Linked DNA regions of Neodiprion lecontei. The protein of the gene in region 1 binds, or shares a complex with, the protein of each later gene. Links are inferred from orthologs where the notes say so. Each region holds a gene or a part of one and is shown on either strand. Other genes may lie near its edges. The genes, in order: ras-related protein Rab-7a, run domain Beclin-1-interacting and cysteine-rich domain-containing protein and PDZ domain-containing protein 8.

The links.
Region 2: the proteins of ras-related protein Rab-7a (region 1) and run domain Beclin-1-interacting and cysteine-rich domain-containing protein are in contact, whole or in part, in a crystal structure (PDB 6WCW), measured with the Homo sapiens proteins. The link is inferred for Neodiprion lecontei from reciprocal best matches to the Homo sapiens genes RAB7A and RUBCN. Residues at the interface, in NP_004628.4 of Homo sapiens: Ile41, Gly42, Ala43, Asp44, Trp62, Gln71, Ser72, Leu73, Gly74, Val75, Ala76, Phe77, Arg79, Ser101, Asp104, Glu105, Ile108, Gln109, Ser111; in NP_055502.1 of Homo sapiens: His818, Asn821, Met822, Lys824, Thr825, Arg827, Leu883, Gln885, Ala886, Lys887, Gly888, Phe889, Ile890, Glu892, Gln895, Glu897, Ile900, Pro903, Cys915, Lys916, Arg931, Arg934, Arg938.
Region 3: the proteins of ras-related protein Rab-7a (region 1) and PDZ domain-containing protein 8 are in contact, whole or in part, in a crystal structure (PDB 7F6J), measured with the Homo sapiens proteins. The link is inferred for Neodiprion lecontei from reciprocal best matches to the Homo sapiens genes RAB7A and PDZD8. Residues at the interface, in NP_004628.4 of Homo sapiens: Lys10, Leu14, Asp16, Ser17, Lys38, Ile41, Gly42, Ala43, Asp44, Phe45, Gln60, Trp62, Gly66, Glu68, Arg69, Phe70, Gln71, Ser72, Leu73, Gly74, Val75, Ala76, Phe77, Tyr78, Arg79, Thr98, Ser101, Trp102, Glu105, Phe106; in NP_776152.1 of Homo sapiens: Ile999, Lys1000, Leu1001, Val1002, Arg1003, Lys1004, Glu1005, Gly1007, Leu1008, Asp1009, Asp1010, Phe1013, Ile1014, Lys1017, Gln1044, Leu1051, Asn1054, Asn1055, Val1058, Leu1077, Leu1084, Gln1085, Thr1088, Ile1092.

What each region holds. Positions count from the first base shown.
Region 1 is NC_060262.1:7,443,801-7,448,926, forward strand, and holds the start of ras-related protein Rab-7a, read left to right. Parts: upstream 1-2,096; 5' UTR 2,097-2,246; intron 2,247-4,458; 5' UTR 4,459-4,485; coding exon 4,486-4,665; intron 4,666-5,126.
Region 2 is NC_060261.1:33,971,752-33,976,806, reverse strand, and holds the start of run domain Beclin-1-interacting and cysteine-rich domain-containing protein, read left to right. Parts: upstream 1-1,918; 5' UTR 1,919-2,139; coding exon 2,140-2,328; intron 2,329-2,452; coding exon 2,453-2,604; intron 2,605-4,103; coding exon 4,104-4,287; intron 4,288-4,448; coding exon 4,449-5,055. Other genes in the region: tRNA-dihydrouridine(20) synthase [NAD(P)+]-like, read left to right, coding at 1-696, 786-1,112, 1,192-1,300.
Region 3 is NC_060261.1:25,378,692-25,383,867, reverse strand, and holds the start of PDZ domain-containing protein 8, read left to right. Parts: upstream 1-1,924; 5' UTR 1,925-2,459; coding exon 2,460-2,861; intron 2,862-5,176. UniProt on the Homo sapiens protein: Molecular tethering protein that connects endoplasmic reticulum and mitochondria membranes. PDZD8-dependent endoplasmic reticulum-mitochondria membrane tethering is essential for endoplasmic reticulum-mitochondria Ca(2+) transfer.

The DNA.
Region 1 (5,126 bases):
TTTCATTGGTTCGCGGTTGTAATGTGTGATATAATGCGTTGAGGCTCGATTCATTAATCAAAATTCTAACAACTATATATCCTTGATTAACGAAGTGTTTTATTCGTCTTTCTTATTTCTATTTTAGTTAAATCAACACTAAACATACCTATATGGAATAAATGTGTAACATGTAGGATTTGTGATAAATGAAAACTAAAAAGCTAAAAATTACAAGTTACAAAATTACATTTATAAGGAGTAAATTGTGAGTTAAAAGTCACAAAATTGTATGTCATATTGATAATACTGATCCAAATCATTAAAAAGAAAAATCTTTTAAGTAAGAAAATAACATTTTTTGTTTGCGTTTCGTTTCAAAATATAATAATTGCAACGTGAACGAATTGTTCGCGGGCAAAAAAATTTATAATTATTATTCGGTACACGTTTAATTTGTGATGTTACCCATTCGTATTATTAGACGTAATTATTCTCACTGTACATATATATGTATCTGTATCTATCAAACTATATACGGTAGAAGATAAACTCGATTTATTTTATGTACGTGTTTTCTACGAGATGTACAAGTTTTTGAACACAATTAAAATGAAACATGCTTCAAAATAATTGTCTCACTTATGTGCCATTTTAATACAGTTAAAATATTTCCCGAAATCTTGCGAATATCAAATCCAAATGATTCCAGTTCCACTTTTTCCTTATCAAATATCCCGTCAAGGCTCAAATTCAATTCGTAGACGATTCCTTTCAGGTTAAAAACTAAAGATATAGTAGTAATGACATATTTCCGGTTTAGCGATTTATGTACTTGATTCCGTGTGCTGAAATAAGAATATTCCCCCAAAAATCACATTGAGTGTTCAAAAAGATTCCAATCACATACCGTTACCAAGTACGTCATGTTTGTTGATTCATAATAAAACCATGATTGAAACTTAGTCTAGACATTTCTCTGGAAAAACACTGCTGCCACACTTGGGTCAGACTGACTCTAAATTTATCCAATTACAAATGATAATTGGGTATGAATAAAAAACAAAATAACTCATACATTGATAAAATCCAGAAAAAAAATTGAATTAGTAAAAAAAGAAAAAAGTGAAAGATGGCGGGCCTCTTTCAATGCATGATGCATACATGAAACGATGACGATAGAATTTGAATTTATTCTTCAGGGTATGTTTCTAAAATTTACTCAAATATATATAATATGTGTTTATATATTCAAGACCCATATTAGTGAGATGTGCGCAATATATCTGCAATATATTAATTTAATAAATGTGAAAAATGAGAAAAAATTTTTAAAAGACAACGTGGTTATTCGTTCTGTCTGACTTTAGTCATTTGTTTGTTTTGTAAATTCGTTTCAAGACCATGCTGTTAGCAGCGCGCGACATGATTTCCTAGTAAGATGTTATGAACTCATTTTAAGGAAACTCATAGTTAGCTGAGTAAAGCATCAAAAGCGACATCTGGCATGACTGTTAGGAAACTAAAATTCATACCAATGTCAGGTAAGTATGTTCAATTACCATTGCCTGCAGGCATCACATTCACCCACAGCCATTCGCGTAGCATCTACAGAGATATTATAAATAAAGTAGGCAAGTGAACCATGCAATTGTCCAATCGAGAAAAAGAGAAAGAAAATTCAGCGACTTATCTATCATTTTCTACCAAGCATGCGCAGTGTGTTACTGCGCAGAGATAAAGGATAGCTATGATTCTGACGCATGCATAAATGCGTATGCAAACAAGGATAGAGGGATCACTCGATTTTCTTTTTCTTTCCATCCGATCTTTCGGCTTATGCTTATCCCTATACCTTGCCTAGTAAATCGTATATAATATCTCTATACGCTTATCGCGTGTCTGCATGAAATTCTCGTCATACTTTGTCTTGATCGACTGGAGATAACAAAGATATCTTCTCGCGCCGATGAGTTACCGCTATCCCCGCCACTCGCCTGGTTAAACAGAGACGGAGTCTCCGACAGAACAGGGTTGTCTTTATATTGACGGTCTCATCGCCGTCCAAGGAACGCGCAAAGTCTATGGACGGAGTGATCGAGGCATAGAGATCGTGGTTCGATTAATCGCAAGCTATCGAAACAGATAACGAGCGCCGTTGTCATTCTCTCATAGTCCAGTCCGCTCGTGATTCACAGTACGCCATTTTCTTAGTTTGTGAAGTGTCGAAGCAGACGGAATATCGCTGTTTTTAATTCAAGTAAAAGGTAACCGTCCCTCAGGCAATGACACTCGACCACGTTTAACCCATCCAGCATCTAACTCCCCGTCATCAACCCGAAATAAGCAACAATTCGTCGCATTTACTGCGTACAATTGACGTCGCGACGTCCTACTACGCATTGACAGGTCTATCACCACTATTATTGGTTGGATAGCATCAGCTTTGATTGCTATTACGCCTCAACTTTCACGGCTTCGATCTAACGTCGCTATTCGTCAGTCTAACCATTTATCCGATACGCGTTTACCTGGCCCCAAATCCCTGCGAGACAACAATACGTCAAAAATCTTATCAAACCTACTATGTACCTGCCTATCTGCATTACTCATACCTACTTGCGTGTCTCACGAAATACATATCACAAAGCGTTTCTCCTCACGCACATACGAATTTCGTATGCGTGCACACTCGATTGAATATTCGTCATTGTGGGGGAGAATCGTTTTGCTACTAAAGGACGTGTTAGCCCTCGTCCCTGAGTACAAGGAGAGAAACAAACAAAGAAGAAACTATCGGAGAAAAAAAATCACTTTGTCATTCTATTTTTTTTTTTCAAAAGTATCAACACACTTTCGATTCTTCTACACGTAGTTTTAACTCGCCCAAGCATAGGTACGTTATTTTTTACTCGTTTAGTTTTACTTATCTCAGGCATTGTAGATTCATTAAAAAAAAATTTAAACTGCTTTCCACCGTTTATTTAATTGAACGTGTTATTCGATTTACTTTCTCCGGATCATCCCAATCGTTGAATCATCGCATTCTTTGGTATCCTTTTACATATGAAACATCTAAAAATGTCCTTTATCCGATGTTGTTTTGTCGGAAGCAGCATTTTTATGTATCTTGCAAGTTTCAGCCTTTCACGGGCTATCCGCATCATTAGAGATTAATGCCAGGCGTGTGAGTTATGGAATAGGAAGTAATACAATATGAGGCATGTTGTTTGTCTGTATTTGAACTATCAAAGTCTGCCTCTTATCAGGTTTCTCATGACACACATACAGACAACTGTGTCGATCATTCAAATGGTATCCATTTTTCATAATATTTACTCCACCTGGCATCGCTGTCCACTCTGAATTCAGCCCGAATCACCTATTTTTCACCCGATTCTTTATTTATTGTCAGTTAATTCAATAACCGATTCTAAAATTTAATGATTTGATTCATTGTTTAACTCATTCTACAGCTGAATCTTTTCTCTTGCTTGCTTTGATTATTATGCGTTGTCCAATTTTAAAATCGAGGTCTATTACAGCGGATCGAGTTGACGAATAATGAATATAATCATGCCTTATTCAACAGCTGACAAGCTGAGGTTAGGGAAGCCCCCATATCACGATAAGTCAGGCAATCGAGTCACGGTTCAAAGATTAAAAAAGAAAACCATCGTATATAAATAATCTAGCACAAATTTCACTCTGAAGTATCATTCTAATCACGGCATCATCCCTTTCAGCTTTTTCTTTCATTTTTGCTATTCGCTGACCTAGAAAGTCGAATAAAAAGAAAAGCAAATGGAGGAAGGAAGCTCGAGGTAGTCAAACATTCTTCGATCTGTAACCTATGATGTAACTGTAAAAAAGAACTCGAGACTTTTTCGAATGAAATTTTCATCACACAGACTAATTATATCCCAATCTAGAGCTCTTTCAAACTGTGACGACTTAGAACAGTGAACATCCACTATTGCCTCGTATATTTATAAACAGACAAAGCAAATACAGTCGATATTACAAACTTCATACCTGAGTCGAACATTTCGTTTGAAATGCTGAATCTTCTTTGCGGAATTACCACCTTTATGAGAAATTGGGTTTTTTTGAACCGGTTAATGTACAATAAATCTCATTTTCTAATTTCACCGAATTAGAAAATCAAATGCATCCTCACGTAACAAGCACAGGTGGTAAAAAAATTATACCTCGGGCATAGCCAGATTAGTTTCCTTCAGAGTCTTCAAATTAAGCATTATTACAAAACAATTTTCTAGTCTGATGTTCTTCGTTGCTCCAGAAAAACTATTTTTTGTAACAGAAAATAACAGTGGGAACAGCGGCGCTCGACAGCTTTCAGGACAATATCGCTAAAGTTTTCTATTCAAGTAACTGCAGTTACGCGTTGAATTAAATCGCAAATATCTAATTTTCCATTAATTTGTTAGCTGTAACAGTTGTTTTTTTAAATTTCAGTTAATCTCACTACTGTAGTAGAGAGAAATGGCGTCGCGCAAGAAAACGCTTCTGAAAGTGATCATCCTCGGTGATTCCGGAGTGGGAAAGACCTCGTTAATGAATCAGTACGTTAATAAAAAGTTCAGTAACCAGTACAAGGCTACGATTGGCGCTGACTTTCTCACCAAGGAAGTTATGGTCGATGGCAGGATAGTCACTATGCAGGTAACCCTTGTCTATATTATTTACTTTATTAAATTTACGAAGAAGAAAGATCGAGGAAAGAATATTTGGATACACAGGGACAAGCAAAATGAAAAAGAGAAAATATACAGACCCGTTTGTTACTAGGAAAATTCGTATCTGATAATATTTTTCTCTGAACAAAAAAGGGAATACATTGCCCACTCAATCTTTCATTTCGTCGATTGATTTTTTCCATCAGTTAGATTTAATTAACAAGGAGAATATTTCGTTATAGAGGTTTTCTGTGAAAACTGGAGTCATTAAAAGTACAAAACAGGTATTTTCCTTCAAAATTTTGAAACACTTGTCTGTATTGTCGGAAGCTTCGACAATTAGCAATAATATTAAGGCAGAAAAACCCTAATCAACATGAAAAATATGAGCTCTGAATAGCGCGTATGAGATTGAAAATACTTCGTTTCAATCATTTATGAGTAATG
Region 2 (5,055 bases), on another chromosome or scaffold:
TCGAGAGAAAAAGTTCGTTGTTCTTCAGCTTGGCACCTGTGATGCAGAGAGAGCCTTGAAAGTCGGAAAAATGGTGCAGAACGATGTAGCTGGTATCGACGTCAACATGGGATGTCCCAAAAAATTTTCAATTCTTGGCGGCATGGGAGCAGCGCTTCTTGAGCAACCAGAAATGGCCAAGGAAATTCTGAACAGACTAGTTAATGGATTAATGATTCCTGTCACGTGTAAGATCAGGATATTTCCAACGGTAGACAGAACTTATGCATTGTGCAAGGAACTAGTTTCAACGGGTATATCCGCGATCGCGATTCATGGAAGGACCAAAGATGAAAGACCACAACATGTAAATCACTGTCATATAATCAGAGAAGTTGCTAAACAATTGCCGATTCCAGTTATTGCAAATGGGGGGTCAAAGGAAATCGAAAAACATTCAGACATATTGAAATTCAAAGAAGAAACAGGCTGCAGTAGTGTGATGCTCGCTAGAGCTGCTGAATGGAATTGTTCAATATTTCGAAAAGAGGGTATACTCCCCATTGAAGATGTAATACAGTCTTATTTAAAATATGCTATTGACTACGACAATGCCCCATCAAATACAAAGTACTGTATACAAAATATTCTCCGAGAGTTACAGGAAACTCCAAAAGGAAAAGCGTTTCTAGAAGCTCAAACGCTTCAGCAGATTTGGTAAAATTTATACCAAGCATTAATTATCGTGGGTTCAATGATGTGAAGATTTCCTAGAAGAAGCAAATAATGATTCAACTTTTTTTCAGTTCTATCTGGGATATGGGAGATTATTGCAGGACTAAACGGAAAGAGTACTTAGACAGAGGCATTCAGGGTAGGTTTCAAGTGATCCCCACCTCTTTGGATCGACAAAAAGGAGTGAAGAGAAAATTTGAAGAGGATGATGTGGTTGTGATGCAGTGTGCTTTTATACGTAATAGCTACACTCATGATCTAGAGCTACCGAAGACGAGGCTTTTGAAATGGACCAAGGAAAACAGGACTAATTTCCCAGTCTATCATACCGAGCAAGAAGATAAATTATTTCGCTCAGTAGTATCAGTGAATGGAAAAAAATACAGTTCTTCATTTTGGTAAGAATCCAAATTGGGTGTAGAATTAATGCTACCCGTTTTGTCTTCAAACAGTAAAAAACATTATTTCATTTTTCAGGGAAAAAAACAAGAAATGGGCTGAGCAAGGAGCTGCACTAGTTTGTCTTTGCACTTTGGGGGCGATAGACATTGATAAGCTTGCAAAAGATGGAAGTATCATTAAGTGAATATGCTATTTAGTGAAGTAAATAGCTAAGTGAAACATTTCTAAACACATTAGATTTTCTGGAAACTAAAGAACAATAAATATAAATTAAGAAACAAATAAACTATTCAGTACAAAAATACAGAGTATTACAATTTGAAAATGTTTTAAATATAATGCCCTGTATACAGTATTGTATACCTACCGTGATACAGTTCGTCTATCCCGTCTATCTATAGGTTGAACATTGTTGAAGCATTGTACTTCGCGATGTGAAGCTAGCGCCAAGCTGTCCAAGCCAGACGAGCAAAGTGTATATCTACTACATAACTTTAGTTACCAGGAGTTTCGAAGCAGTCGGTCACATGGTTCCAAAGTTACACGTTGACCAAACTCTGCCTTACCGACCGTTGAAATTTGAACTGCGTTACGTTCCAATGTATAGACATTGGCCTCGTGAGAGGAGTGTTTACAAAATATGAGAGTTTTGCAGAATCATATTATTATACGAAAACCATTGAACAGAACCGGAAACTAGCTACTCAGAGGTCTTTGGATAGAGTGAGAGGTAATTACCACGTAACAAGGATTTTTTTTTTTGCAAATAAATAAGGATGTTATTCGATCGAAGTCGAGGGGGCGTGACTTTTTAACGATTGTGATACGTACGATCCGTGCCTCCCGCTTCCGGCTGTCAGATCAGAATTGTGCAGTGTGCACTGTGATTTATGATTCACTGTATAATTACGATATTATTTGAAACCGATAACATGAATCATGGCCTCTCCTTGAGTCCGATAATGTTTGCAAAATGATAATATAATCGCTATATTCCTCATTTGCCTTGTTACATGGAGAATCATGATGACATCTATGCAAGATCCACACATCAGGGAACACCAGCAGCTTCTACAGTACCTTCGATCTACTGTCGAAGGACTGTTAGTTAGTCAAGTCTCTAATGTCTGGAATGTGTACGGAGGTTTGAATCGACTCCATAAATGCATGGAAAGAATATTCAGGCATGGGAGTCGAGTCTTCGATTCAATGGTGAGAGTCACATGCTTCTCAAACACAAATTGCAACGTACATTACGCTGCGTAAAATGGTTGAAGTATGGAGTTAAACTTTCAATAAAAAAAGTAATTTACTTCTATTACTCTATCCTTGCAAGGGTGAACCGGATTGTTGGATTTTCATACAAGGGTTAAATTGGCTACAACCCTCTTTGGCTACATCCCCATCTGTCCATGAGTCTGACGATTATCTTTCAAATATACCGGTAAAGATAGGATCACGAAAAGATCTGTTGTGGCTGTATAAGAGGTACTTTCAGTTGTTTATTAAAAATAATTCCTGCATTCATTTTATTTATGTAACAATAAGTATAAATTGGCCAGTCCCTCCATGTATGTAGTGACTAAGAATATATCAGTAAATTTCAATATTTGAGTATATACAATGAATAGTTGTACAACACATGGTGGCCATTAGTCAGGGTAAACTGGGAAGTCAGTGAATTTTTAAATCAGTCTGACCATTTTGTGGCCGTATGAAAAGACAAGGAATAAATTTCCTTCACAAAAAAGCAAAATTCTAAGAATTGTTTGTATTGCTCGGTTTTGTAACCATTAAATAGATCACAAGGGTATTTTGAATACCGATTGATTCGGAGCTGTATTTATTAGATACATGAATAATTGGCACTATTGGTTCTAATTTCGATCAAGGGAAAAAATATATTTTGGTCAGGGAATTTGATATACTATTTTTAGTGGCTACCATGTTATAACAAGCTTTTGTTTTGGAATTAAACATTATTGAAAATTCTCAGAGAATGGCCGTCTGAGAACGTATTCTTCAGTACAGAGAAGACTCTCATATTTGGATATTTAAGGGGTTGCATGGGTTTCAAAGGTAGAAGAAAAGGATATTTGCTCGTATTCAAAAAAAAATATAAGTGAAAGACTATTTGATTCAAGCTTAAGGCATATGAAAGAACAATATTTAAACGATATTTCATAAAATTTGCATTCAAAAATTTAGCTGTTCAGAACTGAATTTTGGAGACCCAGTGATCTTGCGGTGGTCACGATAACCCATGCTAGCTTTATTTGAAATCTAAACACCAAATATTTTCTGTTAATAGGTGAGTATAGCTAGTGAATGATAAAAGGATTTTTTCTAATTGAAATTTGAATTTTTGGCTAAGCTTTTTGCAAAAAAGTACGCTTTTCGGTAGACTTTACATAACATATTGCTTTGTAAAATAAGTTATGACTGAAGAAAAAAAAATTCTTCATGCGTTCACTAGTCAGTCCTATCTAGAAGAAGTGTGCAAAATTTCTATAAGATCGGTGCATTTGTTTTTGAGAGATCACGGCCACTGACTTCAAAAGTTTTGTTTTGAAGAAAGAACGATATACCTGCGATGCTCTTGGCCGGTCTAGCCTAATGAGAGGAATTTCCGAAGGCTCTCTCCCCTAGCCGTTTACTTCAATTGACTTGAAACTTTGGGAAAATATTTTTGACATGTTGTACTATTAGGTGAAAAAAATGTTAAAAATGGATTTTTTGAAATTTCCAAACCCATGTAACCTCTGAAACAATATTGGCACATGCAATCTTGGTATATACATATTTCATGGTATATTTATCTTATTATTATGCAATGGTACAATGATTACTATCTAATCTAGCACCAGGTATGTGATATAATGTTCACAGCTTAGACATGTGAACTTTACTGATTAATTTGATATTGATATCTGCTCAATAGAATCATCATTTGATAGAATTCAGAAGCTTCTGATGTCTTTTTCTAGTTTGGAAAGTCATTCCCTCTCTCAGAAGCTTTCTTGGCTTTTATCGGACAAGGAGCACTTGTTGTCCTGCCTTGAACCTTGGGCTTTCTTGTGCCAGGAAAGTCTTGCAGAAGCTACTCTTATCTGTCTAAGAGCTGTCGAAAAGAATCAGCCCTCTCTTTTAACGGAAATTGATCCATGCTTGGTAAGTCTATCTACCTGAGCCTTACTATTACTGCCAAACTATAAAATATTTGATACCTTCAAGACCATTCCTTATTTCTTGTAGTATGCTAGGTATATTATTAACTTCGTCTCATGCTTGTTAATATTTATATGATGAAATTTTGCTATATATAATTACAGTTTCTTCCAAATTGGGATTTGGGTAAAAATAGTCCGAATAGGCATCGCAGATCATCATCTTATCCCACAAATCTATCTTATAAAAAGTGGGGTATTGTAAATATAGAGAATACAAATAGCTATGAAAAGTATCATACAGGTATAGCTGGGAGTACGGCGCAATCAAATTTGAATGATAGAAAGATTTCAGAGAATCCAAGCAGTATTATGAAGGAGAGGAAATGTAAAATAAATTCTGAGCCAGTGATAACAAAAACTGATATTGACTTCTCTCTGAAAGTGTGGAGTAGTCTTCCTACATTAAACGAAAATCATGAAAACCTTCACAATTTAACTATACCTCAGCCCACGAGTCCAGCCAAGTTTTTTATTGGTACAAACAGAACATCATACAGTTGTAGCACTGACTCGTATAAATTATCAAATGTAATCAAAGTTGATTATACTGAAGTCCAGTCTAAGGGTACAACATCAAACGTAGACGGAAAAGTTTTTAAAAAGAATAGCCCGGTAAGAAAGTCTCGCAAGAAAGTAAAAATCTTGCATGATAAGCAGTTAGATATGAAGTCAAGTGACGGGAGTTCAGATACTTTGAATTATGACGACA
Region 3 (5,176 bases), on another chromosome or scaffold:
AACATCCAAACTTTGGTAGCGAACTTTAATATTATGTATCATGTATGATGTATAATGATTTTAGTTTGTACATTTCAGACAAGAAATACGTACCTTATCTTTCCTGCCGATTCCAGACTCATAAACGGCTAGGCCCTCCGATGGTCAGTCGTTGACTAGAGATATATTCTTCAGTTAACGGGTCAGCGAATAACGCTGCCGTACTGCGACAGTTGGATAATAAAAATTTTTGCTCATACCTTGCGAATGTGTGTTAAAATACATTCGAAGTTTTAAGAAGCTTCGTTCTATCCCTCCCTATCAAAAAAAAAAAATCACCGACAATCACCTTTTTAGGTCTTTAAATCAGGACACTGCGTTAAATACTGTCTCATATACGGAGCATCCATTTCATCTTGATCAAAATTAACGTGTTCGTGATGTATTACAGTTACTCTGAATTTTTTTCCATGACAATACTTTTCGAAAAACAATTCCGCTTTTCTACCCAACGTAGATACTTCACATGCGACTAGCTAAAACAGCGTTTCGCTTCTGTGCCTACGAAAATTCAAGATCGAGAGAGCAAATGAAAAGTTGTAGGAATAATTATGAATATTAATGTTATAGAATACATAGAGGAGCAGGGGTACGAAGAGGACGAAGGTGGTCGGAGGTGGTCGGAGGTGGTTGGAGGTGTTCGGAAATGGGAGAAGGTGGTAGGCGCTGGTAGGAGGTAGTAGGGGGTGGTAGAAGGTAGTCGGAGATGGTAGGAGGTGGTTGACAGTGGTTGGAGGTGCTCGGAGGTTGATGCGGTGGTTGGCTGTGGACGCGGTTAGGCGTCTTCTCACGGGGATGATCGAGCTGATCGACATTTTTAAGTCGCAGTCGAAAAGTAGTCTTACGTACTCACTTTGTACCGACTCAATCTCAAGCTTCTATACCGACACTGTTTTGGCTGCTACAAATGTCGGTGCGAACCCGTTAGATAGAGTCGATAGACCAGAACCCTCCTAGGCTCCCAGGCCGACCTGGGCCCACTTGCCCGCCGAAAATTGGTCACAAAAATTTACCCAGGGCTATCCGTGTTTATACATATTCTTCAGTCAATGACGGAATAGTAGGACTACTACTCCGTGCCATGGTTGCAAGGATACTCAAGATTGACTAATCGATGATCTTACAATGTGATTCATAGAAAGTATTCTGTACTGCCTTATACTCCCTGTACTGTCTTCGGTGCATACGGATCACCAGTACCATCTTATTTCAGGCAGCTTCTTGTTTACATGGACTTCGTGCTCCTTGTGTAGTCTCCATCAGCTAAAGCTGTATGGTCATACGACACAATTGTGCATGACACAACTCATTAACAACAAATACTCATTGTTTATAAATAAGAGTTATCTGTTATCTATTGCAATTTTTCTTCGCACTGTTCTTCCATACCGGCCGAGTTATTTTTTTATCGTAATTTGGGCATTGATATCCTTAGCTCCGGGACTTTTTCAGGATTCTTGAAGGTGATAAGGAGTAAAATGATGTTTTTCAATACGATTATCGGTAGCCACCAAAAATACAAATGATCATGCAACATGTGCGCCATAAAAATAAACTATGCATTGACAATGATTTTATTAGCAAATCGTAGTTTTCTGTACCCTGTCCCTCGAGCATGTAGGTATGTATACACCGAGTCGAATACACAATGCTTCAAGACCCTGTCGTAATAATTGCATAAAAATAGGGCAGCAATGTATCATGTTATGCAATTGAACGAACGAGTGAAAACGTGACCGTGAAAATTGTATATCAACCATCAAAATTATCAATCCTATTGCAAGAATCAGTTAAAATTGAATTAATAAGTAGCTCGGCCGGTAAGGGTAGAAGCGTTGCATGTCGCGTAGTGTCTAGCCCCCCCCCCCCCCCCCCCCATCGTTGTGTATTACGATTCCATAAAGGCTTCGTTCAGCTGTCACGCGTCAGCTGAGAGAGAAGTGTCAATGTGGAGGAAGCCGCTGGAATCGATACAGAAATGTCAAAATTTAATTCTCACATAAAACGGCATGTGGCGACTGTTTTTTGTCACTTGATAAAACTAATTGTTCCACATAAAAAATGTTCACACCATTGAACCTAGTAGACAATTACATGTAGTTAAATTAGAAATGCGTGATTCAGAGTGAAAGTCTGACACTATTTATTAGCTTTACACCACCACACACTAGTTGTTGAAGTAATGAAATATCAATTATGAATCAGGTTGGGGTAAATCAATTCTTAAGTTTGTTCCAACACCTCCTACCAACCAAATGAAATAATGTTCATTAATTGAAGGTGAAAATACACCAAAGTATGATCGCATCACTATAAATATTGCGTACCTACGCATCTCCGCTTAGAAAAAGAAGAAATTACTTCTCTTTCTACGTCGATTATGTTTGATAAATTAAATTCAATCAATTTATTATAAAACAATGGACTTCTGGAGCATTGTAACACTCTTAATATTGTCATTTATATGCGGCGTAATATCGACGTTGGCTCTACAATGGTACATATTCATAAAATACTTGGAAGCGGCGCCGCTTGCCGATCCTCCCGAAAAACCGGCGCCTCATGGACGTGCAGTTTTGCCTGACGAACTTCTGAACGAGGTTGAAAACGAGAAATCAAACTTTCACAACAGCAGCTTTACTCCTAGGCAAAGTGTCTCCCAGGGCAACGAGAACTTGGCTATCAATTTGACGCTGCAATTCCTGTTCAACGAGCTCAGAAGCGCAGAACGGGTTCGCTCTTGGCTCTACAGGAAGCTTAACAATGAGTTCAAAGTACTGCTTACCAGGTCGACTACTGGCAAACTGTTCGACAGCGTTCAAGTGAGTCATATAATTAACTGGAACATGATGCTCGCTTTGATCTTCAATTGTTTTCATTCAACAATTTTGGCTATTGAGGACAAGTAGCGCAATAGAAGGAGTTGACTTCAACACATATTTTTTCACACTTTTCTATGTCAGAAAAAAGAGACTTGTATTTCGTCATTACACTGTATGAGAGTTTACTGTTGAGAAAAGAAATATTGGAAACTAGTTTTTAATTATTTTTGTAAAGCTGTCTGTATTTGGAGAATTTTCTCAGAAGATACTGGTCATTTCACTCAATTAGGGTATAGAAATTGAGACACTTCGTACAATTTTCTACGAAACATTGTTTTCATAAAAAATTGTAAATATGGCTAGTTTCTTATTAAAACTTGTATATTTTCGTGAAAATTAGCATTTTTTCAGTGAGAAATCTTCAAGCCACTACAGTTTTCAAAAAAATTAACCATTCTTGATGAAAAACTACGTATATGGAGCATCCCATGATACCTCGATTAAGATTCTACGTCGATGTCTCAGATTGGCTTTATAATTTTTTCTATGAAAGTTCATGACAAAAATCGCAATCGCAATTTTTTTCAGAATTTTGCGACTCAGTGTATCTGAAGTATGATTTAAACACTTTAAAAAAAACCCACTTTCTAAAACCTGAAGAAATTCAGAATAATCTTATAATGTGTCACAAAAATTTTGACACCTACCAGAAGATGGCCATTTCATAACTTTGAAAGATAAATAAGAAAAATGAAAAAATAAAATAAAATTATTATTATTGGATTGCATATTTTACATAAGAATGAACATAAAGCTCATTATAGTATGGTGGGCTAAAAAACATGTATTCAGAGAGGTATTATAATGAACTTTTGTGTTCATTCTTACGGCAAAAATGCAATCCAGTAATAATAATTTTTTTTTCATTTCTCTTATTTTTCTTTTGAAGTTATGAAATCTCCATCTTCTACTAGGTGTCAAAAATTTTGTTATATCGTATAAACTTTTTCTAAATTTTTGAAAATTTCAGAAAGTGGGGGCTTATTCAATTTTTAAATCATACTTTAGATACGCTGGGTCAAAAAATTCTGAAAAAAATTGCGATTGCGTTATTTGTCATGAACTTTCAGAGAAAAAATTATAAAGCCAATCTGAGACATCGATGTAAAATCTTGATCAAGATGTCATGTCAATGCCCCATATTTATTATTTTGTATGAAATAATACAGTTTAATATAGCCCAATTTCTGTAAATATTCGTAGTAGTAGAAATTTACACCAGGGAAACGATTCAATTGTTCCTGCTACTAGAAATCTATTCAGTTATTGATCCAATTACAAGAATATCCTCTGCAGTAAATATCAGCGCAGCTTTTGAATATTCAATTGTTTAACAATCAAATTTCACAATGCTCAAAGCCGACCAAACACTTTTGTGCCATTTATGGCTAGGTATTTATTTTACACCGAGTGGTTATGGTCAGAAATTTATTTATTTATTTATTAGAGATTAACTATGTAAAAATGTATATCCCACCCTTGTACATAGAAAAAGATATAATACAGTGTTGTAGTGTAATTTAGAAAAGAGTTATTCATACTTAAATAAAGATCTGGAGAGGTTTCTTATAGTATAAAAACTAGTGTTGTACGGATCAAATCAATTTTTATTCTCGTTACATAATCATGATAGACGGTCACTTACAGAGTATGATTTGATGTTCAAATTTATGTAGAAATAGTCATTGTTGTGTCGTAAAGTTCTGCTTGGAGTGAAAAAAAGAAACCTAGATAGCAACTCGGGTGGTCAATCACATTATTAAGAATTCAATAAGCAAAAATTAGATCAATTCTGTACATTTCTGAACAAACTGACGGTATTAGAAGAATTGAAGAAATATTTCAGTAATCTTAATCACTAAAATGCATTGGATTGCCGGACTTAAAAGCTACAAAACGCAAAAATAAGTAATATAATTTTTCAAGTTTGTAAATGTTTGGATACATATAGTATGAGGTGTCCAAATAATCGAACAGTACGTTAAAATTGGATACAGAAATGATGAATAATAAAGTGTTCTGAAAGTTTTTACATCATCAGAAACTTTAGAAAAACGTTTAATAAAGCTAATTTCTTTTGTAGCTCTCAAAACATAATCATCATCTTCGTTAAAATTTAAATTGCAGTTAAAATAGAAACCATGATCTTTTGCTTTAGAAACTTATTCAACCCTTTAATTCACGCTAGGATGATCAGAGTCCTAGCTTTTTTTTTCAGCTTTGTATTTAGTCAACTATTTTTTTGGTAATGACTA